Linked DNA regions of Oreochromis niloticus. The protein of the gene in region 3 purifies or fractionates together with the protein of the main gene of each other region. This does not show direct contact. Links are inferred from orthologs where the notes say so. Each region holds a gene or a part of one and is shown on either strand. Other genes may lie near its edges.

Region 1 (7,833 bases), on a different chromosome or scaffold from region 3:
TGCGATGTTCTTGTTTTTCTCTGTGCATATAATTTTGTTCAGCAATATATCAGTGATGCATTGCTGAACGATAATAAAAGAATCTGAATTTTAAAATAACAGTGTTAGGATGGCTCATAGCGGCTGGGTTAAAATAGGAGGCATGTGGTAGAGATGAGGTGCAGACCACCCACGTGTTTATTCACCAACGTTAAAAAATAAAAAAATAAAAGCTAAAACAGAACAAAAAATAAGACAATGTAGCCCAGTGGTGGGACCTGGTTCCAGCAGCGGCCCTGAACTGGCAGCCTTTTATTGACTGCTGCTAATTGGGTCTCAAGCCATACGAGACATACACGCTAAAGTAAAATAATAAACTGCACACAAATCTTTTCTAATAATGTTTCTTAACATCAAATCAATACTGAAAAAATAGTTACAACTATTATTATGAAATATTTTCCCACTTGGCCTACCACCTAAAATCTACAATAAAACTATTATGGCTGTTCAATCCGCTCTTCGATCACTAGGTGCTGCCTGGAACCTTTAAAAAGCACTTAGGAAGTCTTGGGACTCTTTTGGTTGGCAAAAACATTGGGAGAAAACACAAGTAGGACACAATCTTGTCATCACAATAGTCACTTGGGATATAAATTGGCTCTCCTACCCATTAGCATACACAGGAGGTAAATATCAAACCGGTATTTTCCACCAGTTTAACCAAATTTACGCACATATTAACCAGTGCCAGCTGAAAGATTGCCAACAAGAAAAACCTACAGACAAATAACCAATAAAAAACATATCAAACTGTTTTGTATGTATTCTTTAACACCAATGTTAAACTTAGTCATGTATGTTAATCTGGTTAAGTAATGAAGAAGACTTTAATTGCAAGCAGCAAACAACATGAAGATCAGCTGCCAGTCCACACTAGATGGGGCTGTTGGATGAGGATGGAGCCTCCTGACATCAAGAACTGTTGCTTTCAATGTCAAAATGAAGCAGAGTAGACTAAAGCTCAAGCTCAAAATGTAGGATTGCACAATAATTTGAAAATGATTTTTCTTCTTTACAGCAGCACAGTGGACAAATGACTGATAAGCTGTCTCATGGCCAAGTAAGCCCAGTTCTCGTCTTATTTTGTGACAAATTCAGAAGGTGAAAAATCTGGAGTGGATTCCAATTGTTGAACTTGCTGGTGAAAGGTGCAAATCAGCAGTCTAGTATATTCTTAAAAATAATGAATACCCTGACCAGCTCAATAACATAGAAAGGCCCAAAAGACTGAACTAGTGCATGATTATAGGATATCCTTCTTTGTTCAGAAAACACTGAAGACATCTTTGAAAACATTCTCAAACAGGTGGGTGTATCACTCTCAAGGTCTGTTATTAAATACAGAGGGTCTATAACTAAGTGCAAACTACTGGTGTCCCTCCAGAACAATGAGGAGAGATTAGTCTTTGCCAGGAAACAGCTCAAAGAGTTTGCACAGTTCTGGGGGGAAAATGTTGGACAGATGAAACCAAGATTAACTTGTACCAGAATGATGGGAAGAGAAAAGCATGGAGAAAGAAAGGAATGGCTCATGATGGTGATAAATAAACTGGTATTATATCATGCTTTTCTACTTGGAGCACTCAAAGCACTTTTTACTACTCTCATTCACCCAATCACACACATTATTATAAGGGCTTTTTTTTTCTATATACCTAAGCACCACGAACATTCGCTCTAACGTTGATTGACGCAGCGGGGTTCTCACCCAAGGATACTCTGATACAGAGTGGAGTAGTCAGGGATTGAAGCACCGACTTTCCAAGTAGGCAACCTGCTCAATCTCAGCTGCAGCCACTCATGACCAGAAGCATACCACATTGCCAAACATGGTAGAGGAGATGTTATGGGATGAGCATGTACAACAATTAGGCATAACATTATGACTGCCTGCCTAATATTCTGTTGACCATCCTTTTTGCTACCAAAATAGCCCTGATCCAGTGGCATGGACTCCACTAGACCCCTAAAGATGTGCTGTGATAACTGGCACCAAGATGTTAGCAACACATCCTTTAAGCCCTGTAAGTGGTGAGGTGGGGCCTCTGTGGATTGGACTTGTTTGCTCAGCATATCTCACAGATGCTTGATTGGATTGGGGAACCATTTTTGCTTTGTGGCAGGGTGCATTATCTGGCTGAAAGAGGCCACACCCATCAGAGAATATAATTTCCATCAAAGGGGGTACATGGTCTGTAACAATGCTTAGTACGTGTCAAAGTAACATCCACATGATGGTAGAACCCAAGCTTTCCCAGCAGAATGTTCCCCAAAACCTCACACTACCTCCACTGGCTTGGCTTCTTCCTGTAGTGGATTCTGGTGCCCGCTGTTGTGCCCGATGAGTGACACACACGTACCGGGCTATCCATGTGATGTAAAAGAAAACATGCTTCATCAGATGAGGCCATTTTCTTCCATTGCTCCAAACTCCAGTTCTGATGCGCACTTGTTGTTGGCGCTTTCAGTAGTGGAAACAGGTCAGCAAGGGCCCCCTGACCTGACACCTTTCTATCAGAACCAGCATTAACTTTCTCAGCAGTTTGAGCTACAGTAGCTCGTCTGTTGGATTGGATCACACGGGTCTTCAGTCCCTACGTGCCTCAGTGAGCTTTAGCTGCCATGACCCTGTGACTGGTTTACCACTGTTCCTTCCTTGGACCTGCAATTTTGGAGTTCTAGCCTTCACAATTTAGCCCTCGTCAAGCTTGCTTAAATCTTTGCCCATATTTCATGTTTCTGTCGCATCAGCTTTGTGGACAAAAATGTTCACTTGCTTTTTAATATATCCCACTCACAAACAGGTGTAATGATGAGGAGATAGCCAGTGTTATTGACTTCACCTGTCAGTGGTCATATTGTTATGCCTGCTTGGTGTATGGCTCTAAGTGGAACTAGATCACTAATGCTTATTGATTATATGAATGCCAATATAAGCAGCGTGAATTCTGAAATGTGCATTACTATACTCTCTGCTCAGATTCAGTCAGATGCTGCAAAACTGATGAATTATGACCCGAAAGCATACAGCAAAAGGTACCCAAGATTTTCTCAAGACAATGAGATATCAAGGGCTAAGTCAGTCACCTGACTGGCAACCCCATCTAGCATGCACTTAGTGCACTAAGTACAAAAACAAATGCAGAAAGACCCATAAACAAGCAGCAGCTGACATTTCTGCAGTAAAGGCCTAGCAGAGTGTCTCAAGGGAGGAAAAACAGCATTTAGTGATGTTTCCTGGTTCTACTTCAGTCATCACTTGCGCCGTTACTGAAAATAGAGGACTCTGTATACAAATGGCTATAAATAGCACAGCTATTTGGGGGTGTAGGCAGCAAAGCTACAATAAATGTGTAACTGTCCCAACACTCATTTAACTCCACGTGAGTTTCATAAAACAAATTCACTGTTTGATACACTGAACAAATTTTGAAACATCACAAATTTTGATGTGACAGAGAGAAACATCACTAGTGATTTTTTTTTTTTTAAAAGAAAAGAAACAAGCAACAAAGTTTAAAGTACAAAAGGTACATCACTAGAATGCTGTGAGATGTTGCATGTTATGCAGTTGGGATAAAACGTGAATCTGAATTTCCAGTATTGCTAGTTATGCAAGAACACCTACAAATTGTGCAGGATTTTGTGTGAAAGAGGAAGAAACATGAGGGTGGGGATAATATACGTTGCACTCTGTGGGCATCCAGTGCAGTAATATGTGGTGAACGAAGCAAATTTCTTTCATCTGACAATTAAGAATTATCTCCCCATCTCTAATCCAGTGTAATAAGGAGGCAACTATGTCAGCTTTTTTTCTTCACCCTCGGTTTTTTAAAGGCACAGATGCACAACAAACAATAAATTTGTTGTGCATTCAAACCACTTTCAACTTTGATTATTTCATTCAAAATGCCGTTCAGATTGAGGCCGGACAATGGGGCTGCTTTGGTGGAGAGTCTACTTTGTCTTGGCCAAGGGGGTCAAGTCATATGGCTTGGGTTTGGTTGCTGCAAGTGGGGGAGGGGGTGTTTTCTTTCAATACCTCCTCTGAACCAATAAGCAGGAGTGGTACTGAGTGAATCCAATTATCATCTATAAACTACCCCAGCAACACCTTGTAACAGGGAACAGTACACTTTGATCACATAGAATACAATAAAGCAAAATTGTCTTTATTGTTTACAAAAAACATACAGTGTATATTTAATTATATTTACAAAATAAAACTTTAAAAAAAACTTTCCAATCCTTTCTTGCCCTCTGATTTCTAATACACATATTTTATTATGTCCTAATTACCCAGAGAGCAATTCGGCACTATTTGAACATACTGTACATGATTGCGCCATTTGCAGAATCAGACTTCATTTTAATACACTGCAAATTTCATATAAACATATGAAGTTAATATTTAACCGTTTTTGTAATCTTTGACTGTCAAGGAACTGAACTGGGATGCTGTAAATGCAAGTAAGTGGTTACAAGTGGAGTTAAAAAGGCAATAAAAAGTGCTCCAACAACAATAATGCACCTCTAACGTGTGATTATAAAGTCTGGGCTGGTCATTGTCTCCATATCCAGCCTGGCAATGAAAGAACACCATGTCTCGGATGTGTGCTCCTGTCCCTTTAAGCAGATCACTCCCATAGCCGTACAACTGTTTTATGCAAATTAGACAAGCCGAACGTGCCATGAGCCAATCAGAAGCGGCTTTCAGCCGCGGGAGATCCGAATTTCGCGGGATGAAGTTTGGCGGTAAAAAGACTGCTCTGCCCCAGCTCTTGCCCCCTTGTATGGAGAGAGGAGCTCTGAGGTGGACGGACAGGAGTGGCAGACTGGGTCGGATTCAGCACCAGAGGGAGGCACAATAATTTGTTAATCTCCTGCTGGAACCGGATCTCAGTGAGACCTGGAAGCCTTGGAGAATTAAACTTTAAAGTTCTGGACGTTTGAAATAGTTTATTTATTCAGGAAGCTATTCTTTATAACTGGTAAGGCAAGTTTCCTCTACACTGATACAGGACAAAGGATAACAACACCGAACAGCCTGTTGAATGTACTAATGATAAACGTCACATTATAACATATAAGCCTGTACTGCATGTGTAATTCATGCGGCTTGAAGCTAATCCGGCAGTTTACGCTGTGAAAGTTGCTTTTGTTTTGTTTGTGTGTGTTACAGTATAGGCAGTTTATATATTCATAGAGGTCCCGCAGTAGGTGAAGCTTGCTGAGCGATTCAGTGTGCTCAAGTACAGGCACACTTCTGCCTTCGCCTCACCGGTCCGGTTCACTCAGAAAAATGATGCGGATGCCTAAAGGCGTCTCGCCGGCATCGGGTCGGCAGGCAGTGGGGCTGCCTTGCTCTCAGCAGAAGATGAAGCTTTTGTCCACCGGTGGAGTGAAGACCGACTTCTTCCTCGCCGGACTGTCCAGTCCGCAGATGAACACGGTACCGGCCGGATATTTCACCCAGATCTGCAACACCAGCGTGGCCGAACAAAGAGCCAACAGCCTGTATTCAACCCCCCATGGACCCGAGGTTAAACCGATCAGATCATCCTCCGGGCGACTGCCGGTAAATAATCACACAAATATAAGCCTGGGGTCGTGTTTCCTTATTGTATAATATTTAGCGAGGGATTTGCATATGTCCGGAGGAGGAATATTTGACTTTTTTCATTGCTATGCATGTTTGAGAAGGGCGCATTCAGATATGTTTTGACGTGATAAGCCACAGAGGGGCCACTGTGGCTGCTGCTGATGTGCGTGAATGGTGTCTTCTCTCTTTCTTTTTTTTCCTTATCCATGCCAGGCTGTGTGACATCTTCTCCCGCAGTCCAGCTGTAGCTAACACAAGGCCAGACGCCTTGTTCTGTGTTTGATGGTTTTGATGAGCCAGTGGGGGTGCTTAGAGAGAGGCCCCACTCTCTTATGCCCAAAAGACGAGTGCCCCCCCTCCTTGATGCAGCAGAGCTAGTTTTTTTTAATACAAGCAAACAATGCAGGGGCTCAACCAAGCTGGAGGAAAGACACTTAAGGCAAATTCATAGCTTCCCAACACTTGTAATGGGTGATAACACACATAACAGATGCTCCACCCTCACTTCCCATTATGTCAAAACAGGGTCTGTGTTGGACAATGGGAAGGAAGCATAGGTCAGAGGTCATAACCACAGAACAGGTGTATTTTCTGGAGTGTGAAAGTATTACTATCGGAAGCCCTAAAGCATCACAAATAAGTAAAAGATTAACCTGTTTTGTAGAACACGTACACAGTGGGCTTTAACGACGTTTAGCAATGCCGTTCATTTTAAACTCGAATGCTGAAGATTATTTGAAAATCCTGATCTGAGAAGATTGGGTGACACTCAGCAGCTTTTTAGTGCTCCACACCTGTTGTTGTTTGTTGTATTTGGTGTCTTTATTCCAGCTGACTCGTCAGCCCTGGAGTCTTTTTTTAGATTTAATGAATTGCAGTAACGCTAAAGGGGTTAGAGTGTGTACAGGGTTTTCAAATCGCATGTCAAATCCCCAGCCCTAATAGGCCCTTCAAGAGGATTAGATGGATATAAGTAAAGTGAGAAATAGGGTACCACCTGGCATATCATGTGCCAATGTGAACCTGACTGCTGTCAAAGTGTGTATGGGTTGTTGGTTTATAGAATTATTACATGCATTCACGTTTGATAACCTGGTTTTCACCTTGAAATCCAACCTTAAAGTTTGGCCACTAGAATAAGCAAGAATTCAGTTATTAAATGACAGAATTTTTATTTACACCTCAGAAAATTAATTTGTAATTGTTCGACATACTGGATGTGATGTGGTTCAGTAGGCTTTACGACACTACCCCTGTGTACGCAATCATGTCGCCTGTGTTTTTGTGCATGCACACTGTGACCACGGTAACTTCTGTTTTCAAGGGATTTGAATATTTTCAGTTGTTGCACATTGTCACAGGTGCACATTTCAATTTTACCACAAAAACAGGAGCCTGATTCAGGTTGATAGAAGTGACGGCACGGTTGAAAATACGGATGAGGTTTCAAAAAGTTCTCTGATTAAGAAACTTCCTCTGGATCACTTCAGTAAATTGGGTAAACTTAATCAAAGGGAGGGAGCCCACCTTAAAGTTTCTGCTTTTAAACTGATCATTTTAAGTGATTTGATTCCCGTGTCTAGAAATAAGTGGTACAGTGGGCTTTAATGATGTTTGAGCTTATTCCTTCTATTATACGTTAGTTTTGTTGCACTAATATATAAATGATTAGACACAAGGATGTCATTATCTTTATGATTGGGTTTGAATGACTAAACACCACGACATTTCAGTTGCTCTTATATGTGTTGCGATGGCTGATGGTAGCTATCTTGCAGGATACATTTGATGCGATGATATTATGAAGTTTTATTGACGACAGTAAAGAAGCTGAAGATAGTAATGTGTTGCTGACACAGCTGTTTCAGTGCATGTTCAGTCATGACTCCTGTGTTTGCAGGAAGTGTTGCCTTTTCATGTACTTACAGCTCACTTCCTTTAACCTATACAACATTATAACCACAGCTTTTTTCTCTAAGATTTCCTTTTTTTAAACTTTGACTGGGAAACCAGATTCTAAAGCTTAGAATTTATTTTTGTAAGTACAAACAATCTAAACACTCTCTGAACACATTACACATAGTCCCACACTTTTGTAGGCACCTACCTACAAAAATAAAATAAAAGGTTAATATTTGACTGATTTTAGTAAATGTTAGCTGCAGAGATCCCGTCTTTACTTATTAATC
Region 2 (7,769 bases), on a different chromosome or scaffold from region 3:
ACTGTGCTTGAATATAGTCTGGAAGCAATAAGCTTTATATGAAACACTTCCCTGCTTTTTTTTAATATGTTGAGAGAGTTCCCCATTTCAGCTCCATGGTTTATATACACAATACTACTGTTTATATATTGATGAAACCGATTAATCAGCACTACTAATATACTGATATAACACTGGAGAGATTTTTCTTCACGGAAAGCTGAGTGAACCACTCGGAGAGAACCAAGGACCTTACCTTCATGTTGATGTTTAGCTCAAGGGAAAAAACAAAACTCATTTTATTCTAATAACCATAAAAAAAAACCAGCTGCATCTACAGTGTTCCCATCTGTGCTGCTCGGCAGGAGCATGGACATGATGAAGTTGAAACAATCTGCAGTGAAATGAACAAACAAGACGACAGAGGGCTCCTAAGAGCCACCTTCTTACTTCTGGGTGTCTTCAGCCGTGCCCCATTTGATGCCGCGGCTCCTCCTCTACCTCTAGGAGTTTTGGCTGGTTCTGTCTGGTACTGGTGGTCCGAATCATCGAGTGCCAATCGCCTTTTTGCCTAGGAGAAAGCAGAAGGGATAGTTAAGGGTGGATGTGGTCATTTGGCAGTAACCTCCAAAGCCTTTCCATAAGCCTAGTCTCTCTAAAACACAGCAGAGGACCAAAGAAGCGTTTACATAAACAGACAGAGTGACTGCTAGTTTCAGACTGCCTTTAGTCACCAAATGTGATTGTTCTCCGTCGACTACTTCAGTATTCCTGAGGTTTTCGCAGCAAGGACAGCGACATCAAATCTGAATTGAAAGAAGTTTTGTCAGCCACCGGATTTATATTTTCCCCCAATTTTATTGGAAAGGGCAAGCCCAAATAGCTCAAGAGTGAGTCACATCGACGATTTGAACGTCCCACCGCACACCAACGCCAATCCCAATAAATATTAGACCGTATAACTCCACCCAGCCCAATAATTAAAGGAAGCATCAAGTAGTTCTGCTCAGTCCAAAACTTGATTCTCAAATCCAGACAAAAATGTCTGATGTCCAATTACCCACCATGAGTCTGTTTAAGCATATGATCCAGCAATTTATGGCTCCAACACAAGCTTTTATTTAGTTTCATATGAATCTACATTGCCTCCAGATTCATCTGTACCATTCACCATGTTTGAGCTCATTTATGGCATGTGTTGAACATTGGATTTGGTAATGCAGATGTTACATTTCTTACCATAAACATACCTGAATACATGTTTTGTTTCTTAAAGCACAAAAACACAATAATAATCATTTTTTTAACCATAACCCATCTCAATTATAGCCCAATGAACATCAATCTGTGCTTTTGCAAGAATCCATCCTGTTTTAGTGTCTTTGAGCAGGACAGAGTGCCACCAGCTTGCTGGTCTGCATTTCCCTCTAAAACTCATGCACAGCAGAAGCCACTTTCCCCTGAAATGGAAAACATATTATAATTTTTAAACCCATACTTACTACTTCATCTTTTGCATAACCCCAGACTGAGAAAGAAAAAAATATGTCCTCTGTTGACAGTCAAAGTGTCAGCCATTTTATATCAGCAAGCAGCTCCCCTCACCCCAAAGCCTTCTCATGGCTCACAGCCTGATATGTGCAGACTGGTTGAGTTCATAAAAGATGAATAACCAGGAGGAGAAAGAAAAGAAAACAACACCCTGAATGCAGCTTTAACTGTTTTGTGTGGTTTGTGCATGTTGAGAATACAGGAAACGTAGAATCAGCACTAAAGCAACAAACTCGGGTTTCACTTTACTTGACATGAAAGGCACCACAGCGTTACTTTAGTGACAAAAGAGTGGCATGAAACAGTTGTGCCGAATTAAAAGAATAAGGTCAAGCTCGACAACGACTAACGTTGCTCTCTAATAACCAATAGTGCTACTAGCTCTGATAGCTAACGCATATTTTCAAAGCTTTACCCAAGTTGGCTTGCATCTTCACAGACGACTGGGAGAAAATCTATCGAGCAGACCCCAGACTGAATTGTAGCGATATCTGCGTATAACATCGTGCCTTTATAAGTTCCACTAATCATGTAGCATTAAAACGCTAAAAACAAACATATAGCTTACCAAAAACCGGGCAGGGAAACCATCCCCCAACCCCCCAAATTAAGACACCAACAGCAGCCACTAGGCCAGCGCTAACGTTAGTCATCTCTTACCAATATTTCCATCTGGCTGCAAAGGTGAAGCGGACTCAAAAGCACCATGAAGTCTGCTAACACTCTCTTAGTTGACAGGTCTGCATTCCAGTTAACGCTAAACTCACTTAAACTTGTCACTGGCGTCCCCACAGTAAACGAAAACACTTAACCAGCCCACTTGGGTAACTTAGCTAGCGGTAGTTAGTTAGCCACCTCGCTAGGTTGAGTCGTGGGAATGCCCTGGCTAAGTAGCTAACGTTAGCTGCCCTGAACAACAAGCTCGGCTAGGTTAGCAAGCTAACATTGTGTAGCTGAGCGTAGCAAAGCTAAATGTATAAGCAAGCTGTGTGGATTATTACCGGCGGTCTTCCCAGAGCGGGTCGTTGTCCTGCTGCGTTTGCTGCAGCTTGTTGTGGAGTTGTGTAAATGTTGTTAATCTGAGGCTCGGATAAACACACATTTGATGTCTGTGTAACGTTGCAAGGCGGTGGTGTGGTTATTATTTGGATATACGTAGCGTTTGATTGACCGGGGTTCAAACGATCCGAGAGAGCTGTTAAAATTATATTATTATCCAGAGAAGAGCCTCCAACCCCTGCTAAAATCACTTTTTCCTGAGCCGAGGAGGTCCCTCTTCTCATCTTGCGTATTCAGGGTAACCCCTTTCTTATCTCGGAACTTTCGAGCTCGTATAGCTGCTAATCCGCCGCAATGGTTACAAAAATAATCAGACCAAAGTAAAGACGAGTGTCTGAACTATCGATTTCTGAAAAGTATTTTTCCCTCAGAAAGTGCATTTAGGCAGATGCAACGGATTAAAAAGTAGCGCAACTCTCGTTTCCCCCGTCTAGAAATGGCTTCAGGAAACGGCCTGATGAATGAAGGGATACGGTTTACGCGCTCAAGAACCCTCCCGCGAAACTCAGATTTCCCGGGAAAATTTCAAACGGAATTTACATGCCAGACCCTATTGGCTCCTAACGGCGGAGTACCCACCCATATCGATATCATTTCGACCAATGACGGCTTCAGATTTAGTGCGCCACGTGTTCATTGGCAGTTGTAAACACGTGGCGTCACTTGTCACGCCTTGCGAGCTCTCTGATAGGACGTAAGGTGGCGCCAGAGACCAATTTGCTGAAGAGAAAGCATGAAGAACCAAAACATATCTACGGACTTAAATATTATAGCAATAAAAATGTAATTATTATCATTTGACCCGAATGTAACACCGTACACAATATTAGGCTCATTTTTTTAGCTTGATTTTTTTTGTGTGTGACCCTTAAATTTACTATGACAACGTTGCATGACATAAAATCTTAACCTACAATATTATAGACAACAGAGAGCTATGATTTCAAATAAAAGACTGGAACCAATTTGCATCCCCCTATTTTTCCTTATAAGGAAAAATAAGGTAGGTAGAATAGAAATTTTCTATTCAGGTAGAATAGAAAATTGCAATATAAGAACTAGTCCATTTACCATTTAATTTAATTATGTTTTTGCAAAAGTCATTTGCAACTGTGTAAATTTGCTTTAACATTTGCAAAGCCATAGGTTTGTGCTTCTTATCATTTCTGAACAGGTTTACATTAATCATAATTTGCTTTAGTGAAGGTTTTGGATCTTACCTATAACTTTAAAAAAGGCACATACATTGCAAAAATCAGGTCCCAATACACAGTCTCAGTGCTGCAAGTGAGCTCAACTCTATGTTGCAACAAATGTGATTAACTTCTTCTTTTCCCATTAGTTTCCAAAGCACCCAGTGACATCACAGATTTTGTTTTCTTTGTTTGTTATTTTAGTGATTGCTTAAATAGTACATTGTGTGATGTTCATCTCTTTGGACCATGTTCAAGGAGAAAATAACTGAGGAGCAAGTGTGCTGATGTCATCTGCATAAGTGAAAGAATTATAGGGGAAGATATAGATGGCATGAAGTTACAGCCAAGTGAAAAAGAACGTTTTCAGAAGTTAAAATAGAAGTTTTCGCTTCCACTGTAATTGGAATTACTCTCAGGTACTGCAAATGAAATGCACTTGATTGACTGATCATCAGCAAGTGTGAGCACCTTGATAAAAGCTGAAGTTTGAGCAGTTTGCTGATCTGGGGCATTTACTGTAGGTGTGTGTTGTCAGGACAATGCTGCAATCTTCCTGGGAGTGGACATTCCAGAAAATTCATTCCATGCCCAGAGAAATGGAAAATTCCCAATCTCAGGCCTCAGTTTGTATGTTAAATATTAAAGTTTTTTGGCAGTACAATTAGAAGAAAACTGAACATCTATGGCTTGTTTGGAAGGGTTGCCAGGGGAAAGCCTGAAGAACATAGCAGCACAGTTTAGGTTTGCATCTGGAACAATGTCCTTTGGACAGACCAAAGTAGAGATATTTGTCCACAATTTTCAGCACCATGTCTGGAGAATATCAAACACAACAAATCTGTAAAATCACCTCATGCCAACTGTCAAACACGGTGGTGGAGGGGTGATGATTTGTGTTTGCTTTCCAGCCTCATAACCTGGGTGCCTTGTAGTTACTGAGATGACTGTCAACTCCTCTCTATACCAGAGTATTCCCAAAGTCAAAGTCAGCTTTATTGTCCAAACCCATATGTACAGATCATACACAGAAATTCTAGAGTGAAATAAGAGATCATCTGTTTGCCATCTAAAGTTTGGGTGAAACTGGGTGAGCAGCAAATCAACCACAACAGAATACCTGAGAAAAGATGATGTTCCAGTGGCTCAAGTCAAAGTCCAGATCTCCACCCGATTGGAAAGAACCTGAAGAGAGGTGTGCATAAATAAAGTCCCACAAACCTCAATGAAATGAAACATCACAGCAAAGAAGCTCAAGGCAAAGTTTCTCCACAATGACATGAGAAACCAATAAAGTTATAAAGAAAACAATGACTTCAATTTGTTGCTGCTAAAGGTGGCTCTACAAGCAACTGTGAAAAGTCTCTTTTTTACATGACTCTACACAAAGTGAAACTATGTCTTGCAGTCACAAGATCTACTGTATGGTGCCCTGAGGTGCAAAACACAACAATACAACTGAAAACACAACAACATCACCCTTTATTAGTATTATTATTAGAATTATCTATAGCGACAGCCTGATGTTTCTATACTACTCTGAGCAGTGTCCTTGCGCGGAATTTAAAGTTTTCAGAGAGTTAAAAAAATATGGAAAGGGATTTTGGAATAATGAGAGAATCTTTTAACAAAGACATTCCTTCCATGATAGCACACTGGAAAGAATTCAGACTGAGATCACTGGATAATGTTATGCAGAGTTATGCCTGCTTTTCTTATCCTGAGTTTTGTCCGTCATGTTACCACATGTAGCCAAAGCAGAAACATTTTGTTTTTTGTTTTGCACATCAGGGCCACCATACAGGTGTTTGGATGGAGGACAAGACAGTGAGGGCATGACAAAAAGTTACAAGTATAACTGACTTCAGTGATAACTGTCCCCTGACTACAATCCAATTTAGTTGGCCTGATTGCTGAGTGCGGTTCCTTAGACAAGACCCACACGACATTCTGTTTCCCCACATTTCGTTTTCATTTTTACTTTGACATATAATACAATAATAACTGTAAAGTGGAAGGTAGAGCAGCTGAAACAGCTGAAAATAACCGTGTGTTGTGTCAGTGTGGAATATAAATGGGGATATCCATCCATCATGACTTCAGTGATGTTTTACTGTATGACAAGTTAGTAGTTTGACTTAAAGGTCACATTACACTGCTGTCTTTCTAGCCAACAGTATGTCAGTATGGTTTGTATACCCTGTAAATAGACGGTGAATTGTGGTGACAGGATGACATAAAGGCCAAAGAAACCGCCCTTCATATTAAGAAAGATTCAGAAAGAAACCACCTCAGACTAAAGCATGATGATGTGTCCTAACTAACCTTATTCTGGTTTGATTTTGCAGTTGATCTTCAGTGTCATATTGATTGTTTATCATTTAGAAAATATGATATTTTTAAGTCCTCCTGTTGCCACGGGGACCACTGTTGCCTTCACCTTCAGCATCCTCTAGCTCCTCTCTCAACCCTTTGTATTTCTCCCGTTCTCTACTTTGTGATGGTGCTATCACTTGGTATAGCTAAATCTACTACTACAGCCATCTTCTGTGCTCGTCCACCACTATGATGTCTGGTTGGTTAGCCACCACCAGTTTGTCCATCTGTATCTCCACAGGATCTTAGTTTGGTCATTTGCAACAACCCTTGGGGGTGTATCCCATTTTGACCCTAGAACTCCTAGGCCATACTCAGCACAGATGCAGGACTTCCTGATAGGTGACAGCGAATTTATTTATAGTGGAAAAAACAAGCAAAGATGTGCAAAAACAATTCCAAAAAAAAGTTTCCTTTGTGACAGTCTCCCGAGTCCCGTGCAGTAAATTCTCCTCTTGGTCTGTGGTACAATAAACTACCTCAGCAATATTTACAAAATTCAAGTCGAGGGGGGCAGGACTATGGCACAACAAAAAATATGACAGAAACATCATTTTACAAAACAGGGTAACAATCGAAATGCATTGTGGGAGATTAAGCAACATACAGTAAACTTATTTTAATGCAGAAGTTCTCCAGTGGATGTTCCATCCCCTACAGCGATTTCCTCCATTTTCCTAATGCAAGCTTGATGGTTAGAAGCTCCTGGTCGCCCACAAATTAGCAGAGTCAAGGAATCTTTGAAGCTGTTTCCTTGTTTGGGGTTGAGACCACTCCACCACAGCTTTAATCTCAGCCGGGTCAGCTTGTAGCTTACCCTGTTCCACGATGAACCTGAGGAAGGAAACTGACTGGACATGAAACTCACATTTTTCTCCTTTTACAAAGAGGTGGTTCTCCAGCAACTGCTCCAGGACTTGGCGGACATGTTTCTTGTGTTCCGACCTGGATTTGGAGAAGATGAGAATGTCATCAACGTAAACAAATACAAAATGATTGATGAAATCCCTTAGGGCGTCATTCACTAAGGCCTGAAACACTGCAGGGGCGTTAGTGAGTCGAAATGGCATGACCAGATATTCGAAATGTCCAAGGTGAGTATTGAAGGCTGTTTTCCATTCATCTCCCTCCCTTATTCTGAATAGGTGGTGTGCATTTCATAAATTGAGCTCCTTGCGGTAACTAATGGGCCAAAGACAACAGAGGAAGGGGGTACTAATTTGTTACAGTGATTTTGTTTAGACAAAGAAAGTCAGTACATAGACAGAGAGGTTTGTCCTTCTTTTCTACAAAGAACAAGCCCGTGCCGAGCGGGGAAGTGGACGGACAGATTATCCTGGCAGCTAGGGAGTCAGTAATATAATGCGCCATAACTTCCATCTCTGGATTAGAGAGACTGTACAGATGTATAGTGGGAAGTGGGGCCACAGTCGTAGGGACGATGAGGCGGGAGAGAAAGAGCTAAGTCTTTGCTAAACACTTTAGCTAAGTCATGATAGACAATGGAGGTTAGATTAGGTGGTTCAGCTAAGTCAGGTGGGGCAGCGGTCGAGAAACAAAAAGTAACTGACCGACCGTAAACAGTTTTCACAGCACCAAAGGCTCCACCTG
Region 3 (7,830 bases):
GCGACACATCATGTACTTTAATACCACGACAATAGTCTTGTAAGCAAACCTTACTGGCATTAAATCCAGTGCCCGGGTTTGTGTTTATTTTGGTTACCTACCATTTTTACACCCGCTGTTTGACCAGTTTGGTAGTCCGACTGTCGTTCATTATACGCATGCGCGGAAGTAGCCGGATTGCATAAAAAAGATGAGGTCTGCGGTAAACGCTCCGCTTGATATTTGCATTATTTGCGCTTATTTGATTACAAGTATTGCTTGTACCCGTAATTGTCGCGCAAAGAGAGTTAAAACGACACTTTCAAATACGTTGTTATACCAAGTGTAATACACATACAGGAAAACTCCCTCAAAACTGCATTCAGCACTGTTAAAAATAAAACTCAACCCCACCCTTCACCCGCTACACACACAGACACACACTTGTTGACTGCCAACATCCTCACACACCATCCACAAAACAATACACACTGTAAAACACAGCATCAGTAATCCTCCTTCACTGCACATCACACCTGCCTTGATCTGTTAGTGGCAGACATATGAACAGCTGACCGAAGAAATTTATTTAAACTGCATTAAAACAGCGACATTAAGGAGCTGTTGTAGACATCCAAGATTGATAGGTGACCCCAAAGCCTCAAAAAAAAAAAAAGAAAGAAAGTCAGAGCAGCCATTCTGAAATGTCATTGTAGGGTAAGCACAGGTGTAATAACATTCATCATGGCACTGCTCCATTTAGAAGGGTCTATTGTGCTTGCCAGCTCACTAGAACGACTGATAGACTAAATATAACAGGGTTATAATTGAGTTTAACACTTACATGCTTATTGTAGTATGAGATGTCAAAGTGGTTATTGTGAAAAAGACCTATTTTGATAGTAACCATTAATGAATATGGCTATATTAGCAAGAAAAAATCTAAAACATTGTTTGTAGTGCTGTGGAAAGGTATTGGGTTATGCTTACAGTGTTTACTGAATAAGATAACTAACTTTGGAATAGTTAACTTTAAATATATTTTAATAAAAGTCGCATCCCAGACCTGTTGAATCAAGAAATCACATAAATAAAAACCTGTCTGACAAAGTGAAGTAGGGTAAAAGACCTCAAACAGCAAAACATCATGCAACGATTTAAAGAAACTTCAGAACAGATAAGAAACAAATTCATTGACATCCATCAGTCTGGAAGGGGTTACAAGGTAATTTCTAGAGCTTTAGGACTCCAATGAACCATGGTGAGAGCCATTATCCATAAAAGAAGAAAACCTGGAACAGTGGCGAGCCTTCCCAGAAGTCGCCGGCCTACCAAATTTACCCCAAGACCGCATTAAATCATCTAGGAGGTTACAAAATAACCCAGGACAACCTCTAAAGAACTGCTGGCCTCACATGTCTCAGTTAAGGTTTATGATTCAACAGTAAGAAAGATACGGGGGGAAAACTGCATCTATGGGAGGATTCAATTCAATTTATATAGCACCATATCACAACATCAATCACCTCAAGGTGCTTTACATTGTAAAGTAAAGACCCTACAATAATAAAGAGAAACCTCAACAATCAAAGGACCCCCTTTGGGCAAGTGCTTGGTGACAATGGGAAGGAAAAACACCCTTTAAACAGGAAGAAACCTCTGGCAGAACCAGGCTCAGGGAGGGGCAGCCATCTGCTAAGACCAGTTGTGGGTGAGGGGAGAAGACAGGACAAAAGACATGATGTGGAAGAGAGCCAGAGGTTAATAATAACTAATGATTAAATACAGAGTGGTGTGTAAACACAGTGAAAAATGTGACTGAAGGAGAAACACTCCTTCATCATCAGAAGCCCCAGCAGTCTAGGCCAATTTGCAACAAAACGGGGCCCTAACTATATTCTTAGTCAGCAAAAAGGAACATTTTAAGCCTAATCTTAAAAGCAGTCTGTCTCCCGAATTCAAAACTGGAAGCTGATTCCACAGAAGAGGGGCCTGAAAGCTGAGGGCTCTGCCTCCAACTGTACTTTTAAACCTAGTAAACCAGCAGTCTGAGATCAAAGTGCTTTATTGGTGTGATATTGTACTGTGAGGTCTTTGAGATTTGATAGGGCCTGATTATTAAGGACCTCTGATGTGATGAGAAGGGTTTTAACTTCCACTCTGGATTTAACAGGGAGCCAACGAAGGGAAGCCAGCATGTGAGAAATACGCTTTCTCTATCTCTTCCTTGTCAGTACTCTTCCAGCATTCTGGATCAACTGAAGGCTTTTCAGGGAATTTTATGGCAGCCTGATAGTAATGAATTACAATAGTCCAGTGTAGAAGTAATAAATACATTAACTAATTTTTCAGTCTGAGGATTTTAATCTAATATTGGAGATGCTATGTATGCTATGCCTTCTAATGATACTACGTAAAAGCATGTATAATATAAACAGAACTGGTCCTAGCACTGAACCCTGTGGAGCTCCATAATTAACCTTAGTGTGTGAAGAAGAGTCCCCATATACATTAACAAACCAGAGTCACACAGAGAACACAGAGATGAGTCCACTGTCAGAGGCCATAGGAAGATCATTTGAAGCCTTCATAAAAGCTGTGCTGTGATGGGCTCTGAAACTCAACTGAAACTCTTCAAATAGCCATTCCTCTGCAGATGATCAGGTAGCTGTTTTACAATTACTCTTTCAAGGCTTTTTGAGATAAAAAAGAACGTTGGACATTGTCCTATAATTTGCTAAGACCGCTGGGTCAAGTGATGGCTTTTAATATGATAGTTTAATTACTGCCAGCTTGAAGGCATGTGATACATAGCACATTAATAGAAATAGACTGATCATATTTAAGCTTTAACGATAGGACTTTGAGCAGTCTTGTAGGAATGAAGCCTAAAGTGCATGCTGATGGTTTGGAGGAACTAATTACTAAAGTTAATACAGAAAAATTCCAAGGAGAAAACCACCGCTGACCTAAAAGACCACAAAGGCTAGTCTCACATTTGCCCCAAAAAACCCATCTTGATGATCCGTAAGACTTTTTGGAAAATATTCTGTCGACTGACAAGACAAAAGTTCAACTTATTGGAATGTTTGAGTCCCATTACATCTGGCATAAAACTAATACAGGATTTCATAAAAAGAATATCAGAGCATTGGTTTATGCATCAGCCCCCCCCCAAAACAAACAAACAAACAAACAAACAAAGAAACAAACAAACAAAGAAACAAACAAAAACAACATCCAAAAACGTTTTTTGAGTGACCTAGTCAAAGTCTGGGCTTAAAGCCGATTGAGATGCTTTGGGATGACCTTAAACACGCCATTAATGCTCTGAAACCCTCCAACGTCGCTGAATTAAAACAATTCTGCAAAGAACACCAAGGCCTTGGTGTTCCCCCGGAAAAGGTGGAAGAGGTAACTAGGGAAAGGGAGTTTTGCTTAGGGTGTTGCCCCCACAACCTGGTGCCAGATACACATAAGAAAATGGATGGATGGATGGATGGATGGATGGATGGATGGATGGAGAAAATCTACCTTGCCCAGCTATTCAAGAGTCACAAATACATGACTCATATGATAATTCAAGCAAAGAAAGGCAAACGGTTAAACCCTTATGAGCTAAGAAAAACATTTGTGATTACTTTATTAAAAAAATAGTATGGTAACAGGGTTAAATAAGAGTAACAGGGCTGCACAAGATAACGGGGTTGAACGGATATATTACTTTTACTTGTAGATTATGACATATGTGTGACAAATAAATACTCAGGACTACACAGAAATGTTGTTTAATAACATCTTATATATTTTTAACATGTTTGTAATGTTTGTTTTATATGTACAGTAACAGGATTGCAAATCAGTGCTAATATTAGAGTTTTCTCAGAAAAAGATGTAAGCTGATAGTTGACTGTGAAAGTCAAGAATAAATATAGAGATGTAAACAAAGGAATTAAACTTTCCAATTACTTTCTCTTTTGGTAATATGAATATCAGGGTTTGCATTGGCTGGAATGACACAGTCTAGTTAGAAAAGACTGGAAAAAATACAAAATATATCACAGAGGACTGACCTTCAATCTAACCACGGTGTTAACACGCGGCTCAATCGTGTCACTGACTTTTTGTCAAGTCACTCACTGTTTGGCCTCTTGTTTTTCCAGCCTAAATAGGTTTCAGTAACAGGGCTGCACATAGGTTTGCAGTGCGTAATTACTCTTCTTTAATATATGTTGATGTTTGCATGTTGTAAGCTGATGATGAACAAAATCAAAACAAGAAAAAAAGTGGATTTATAACGATTTTTAGCTGTTATAAATTAGTTATCGAGAGTTTGGCAAGAGAAAAAAATGCTATTTTGATAGTTCTCAAGAAGTATTTTGTATTTATATAATATTTTGGAATTGGAACCAACTTCACACTACAAATGTATGTTGTAATCTTTTGTGCCTGGACTGTTTTCAAATTCATATGGGGGAGCAAAGAAAATCTCCTGCATTTGTACAATGGCTCACTAATAGTGACAATAGTGAGTGTTGAGACCTCTCCAGTGCACTTGCTATTACTGATTTTTGCACCAAATCAGGTGAAATTGTTTCACAATGACTCATGGCTTCCTAACTGGACAGATTTGCATCCCTGAAGATTAACTAACTTTGTGTTAAATCTTCGATACTCTGATCCCTTACGTATTTTAAGACTTGTCATATTTACACATTTTTTATGGCACACTCCTGTGCAGCAGACGGCGCTGCATGTATCACGAGGGCTCTGGTATCCACCAATCCAAAGAGCTCCAGGTTGTGGGCATGAACTATTTTGACCGCTTTGCTTTCGTCTCATTCGTGCTGTCCAATCAAGCTCCACTAAAGCGAGGCACCGCCAAGATCAGATTGTGAGAGACGCTGGTGTAGCAAGGCTAACGGAAAGTCGATAGGAAAGGCTAGCGAGCAATCTGTTAACCTGTAAGGTGCACCGGTAAGCAGCATTCACTCACCTGCAGCTTGTCACTCAGCTGACGCATATGATAGAAACCGACGTTAAATATCTGTATGACCTTCTATTGTTTGTTAAGTATATAGAATTTTTTTTTTACCGCCAATAAATACAAAGCTAGCCGTCGAGGTAAACTTGTAGCTAATTCTGGGGTTGTCGATGACAGCTGGGGGTTAGCTTCTGTGCTAACCCACTAGCTAGCCAGTGAGCTAACAAAGCGCTGAAGCACCTACTTCTTGAAGTGCAATCGCGAGTTAGCTCAGTGTTGAAATAAACATTTTGATAATAAAGACAAGTACTTTTTGCATTGCATTTAATACATCCTCTTTCAAGTCGCTAACCTACGGCATGTAGCTGACTGTAACGAAGTGAAGAACAGAGCTAGTTTTGCGGTTCACGATGATTGTAATCGACCTGATTACAGTAACGTACTTGTATTGGATCCGTATGCAACGGTTCGTTTGGAAACGAACCTTATAAAAACTAATATTTAAGTTTTAGACACCTCAAAATGGCCACCTTTCTGTTAATTTAGCGTCAGGAAAGTATTCGTAAGGGTCTTCGTGTTTTATTAAGAACAAATAAGAAAGGTTACGCGATTAAATGCGTGGAAAAATAATAATAATAATACTAAGTCGAGTGTTTTTAAATGTAACTTCCAGACAACAAAGTGTGTTATTCATTAGTTAGCTATGTGTGTTGATACTGGTTACTACACTGGCAAAAGGAGGTCAGCGATTGACAATAAAACACAATAAACTCACGGAGTATATGCAGCTGCCTGCAACTGGTATTTCAGAAGTTGTGGTTAACTGTGGCAAAACATTTTTATCGTCTGGATTAAATCCACCTTGCTGGCATCGATGGCAAACTTTGTTTACTTTTTAGTCTGCTTGACTTGGAAACGATCACTCTTTGTACAGCTAACACACAGCAAGTTATGCAAATCCTGGCATGGCTTGTTGTATTAAAAAATAAGCTTAAAAGTGAAATACTCAAAGTAAATACATTATTTCGTACTTCAAATGAACTATATAATTGTTAAAAAGTATCTCGACATTTCTTAGTTTGTTTCCTGTTTAGTGGGGATTTAGACCTCCTCTTCCTCCATTCTCAAATGCCAACAACAACAGCCGTCGAGGAGACAGAGTGCACTCGTAAGCGCATACAGTCACCACAGTTAAGCTCATTCATCGTGCGAAAGGCACGTTCACTATTTTAAGTGTTAACCCATGGTGTAGTGTAGCTGGGATCTGCAGCACGGAACCAATAATCGCAACATTTCTACATGAATCGTCTCAGAGCGTGCAGGAGCTAACTAGTAAGCTAAGACCAGCAAGCTGGGTCTACCGCTAGCTGTTAGCAGCTAGCTGCGTCCAACAAAAGATTGTTCGTGCTAATCGACATATAATATGACCGCTGTTACAGTATCATGCAGCCACAGTGCCTGGAGCCACATAGTGCTGTCTCTGTTGCGACATTATCAGTTTAGCGCTGTTGTGGTAAAGTTCGCTTGTTTGCGTGACCTGTAGCAGAAGTTGGACGGTGCCTCTCCTCCGGACGTGCTCGGTACCTGAAGTAGGCCTTGTGCACACTTAGCGTAGTAAAAGTTGTGAGCATCAAGGGATGGCTTAATATGGTTTCCCGCATATCTAGAACATTTAAAAGTACTGCTCGGTGGCTCGTTCACGTGAGATTGGTGTGAGAAACGTACATTTCTGCGCATTTTGGCTTATAAAACAAATAGTGACGCTAACATTGGTGATGTAGTTAGCTTTCTACAATGTGCTCTTAGCAAGCAGACCAGATGGGCCTTACTTCAGAAATAAGTTTAAATTTCATCTCCAAAACAAAGTGAAACACAGCTTAGCTTGGGAAACAGTATTGGGAAATATGATGTTTGGGTCAAACTGTAATTTTGTCATTATTTAAGTAATAGTTTGTTCTCTTTCTGTTTACAGGGGTCTGAATAGTGACTGGCAGAGGAAAAGTCTTTTTAACCCAAAGCATACCTCTTTTCGGTCCTTTGGGATCATGGCTAAAGATGTAAGTAAATATATACATGGTTTCATGAGAAACATCAGGCTATTTTGGCTGTGTCACCTAGACTGTAGCTAATTTTGGGTCCTTAAATTTACTGGCTGCACTTAGTCTTGTAGCGTTTTCTTTTTTCTTTTTTTTCTTTTTAAATAGACTGTGGGATTTGTTTAGTGATTTCATAGTGGAGTGGTTTATACATTTGCCTTACAAAAGATCCCCTGTTAGGTCCTGGAAGGTGACACAGTTCCACTGAATCAGGAAGGGCATCCATCCAGCATAAAAACTCTGCCAAATCAAACTTGTACAACTCACTGCGGTGACCCCTCATAAATAAGGCATCAGCCAAAAGTAGCTTCTACTGTATGTTTGTTTAACTGGACTCGTCTTCAATTCTGTGGTTTCTGCAGTATATTAAGTTGTTCTCTTTTACAGGCTGGTCTAATTGAAACCAATGGAGAGCTGAAGGTTTTCATCGATCAGAATCTGAGCCCTAGTAAAGGTATATTTTGTGAATACTTGCCTACAGAAATTGTGCATATGTGATATACAGGGCATTCTAAGCAGTATGTACAGTCTAGTTTAAGAGGCAGCAGGGCTGTTTGTTGGTAGGTGGACAATAGGGGGCAATGGTGTTTCATTCAAAAGCTTCCCTCATTAATGATCTTCTCATGTCTCCTATAAGGTGTCCTGTCCTTGGTTACTGTCCAGCCCACAGCTGCCCCTGTGGCCAAACAGCTACTACCCAAAACCCTTGGGCCATCCAATGTGAACGTCGCTGCACACATGCAAAATGTGCCACACATGGTAAGTGAGGTC

Evidence for each region.
Region 1: the proteins of tfdp1a (region 3) and e2f2 purify together in Homo sapiens (affinity purification with mass spectrometry; 3 studies listed by BioGRID and IntAct, with this or other methods). This does not show direct contact. The link is inferred for Oreochromis niloticus from reciprocal best matches to the Homo sapiens genes TFDP1 and E2F2.
Region 2: the proteins of tfdp1a (region 3) and transcription factor E2F3 purify together in Homo sapiens (affinity purification with mass spectrometry; 3 studies listed by BioGRID and IntAct, with this or other methods). This does not show direct contact. The link is inferred for Oreochromis niloticus from reciprocal best matches to the Homo sapiens genes TFDP1 and E2F3.

The regions. Positions count from the first base shown.
Region 1 is NC_031983.2:14,406,244-14,414,076, reverse strand, and holds the start of e2f2 (transcription factor E2F2), read left to right. Parts: upstream 1-4,800; 5' UTR 4,801-5,033; exon of another isoform or gene 5,034-5,224; 5' UTR 5,225-5,344; coding exon 5,345-5,620; intron 5,621-7,833. UniProt on the Homo sapiens protein: Transcription activator that binds DNA cooperatively with DP proteins through the E2 recognition site, 5'-TTTC[CG]CGC-3' found in the promoter region of a number of genes whose products are involved in cell cycle regulation or in DNA replication.
Region 2 is NC_031976.2:8,581,895-8,589,663, reverse strand, and holds the start of transcription factor E2F3, read right to left. Parts: upstream 3,100-7,769; 5' UTR 2,814-3,099; coding exon 2,532-2,813; intron 2,445-2,531; exon of another isoform or gene 2,239-2,444; coding exon of another isoform or gene 2,191-2,238; intron 551-2,190; coding exon 430-550; intron 1-429.
Region 3 is NC_031987.2:21,263,733-21,271,562, reverse strand, and holds the start of tfdp1a (transcription factor Dp-1a), read left to right. Parts: upstream 1-4,805; 5' UTR 4,806-4,956; intron 4,957-6,000; exon of another isoform or gene 6,001-6,295; intron 6,296-6,935; 5' UTR 6,936-7,008; coding exon 7,009-7,020; intron 7,021-7,446; coding exon 7,447-7,513; intron 7,514-7,696; coding exon 7,697-7,818; intron 7,819-7,830. Other genes in the region: dcun1d2a (DCN1-like protein 1), read right to left, coding at 102-104. UniProt on the Homo sapiens protein: Can stimulate E2F-dependent transcription.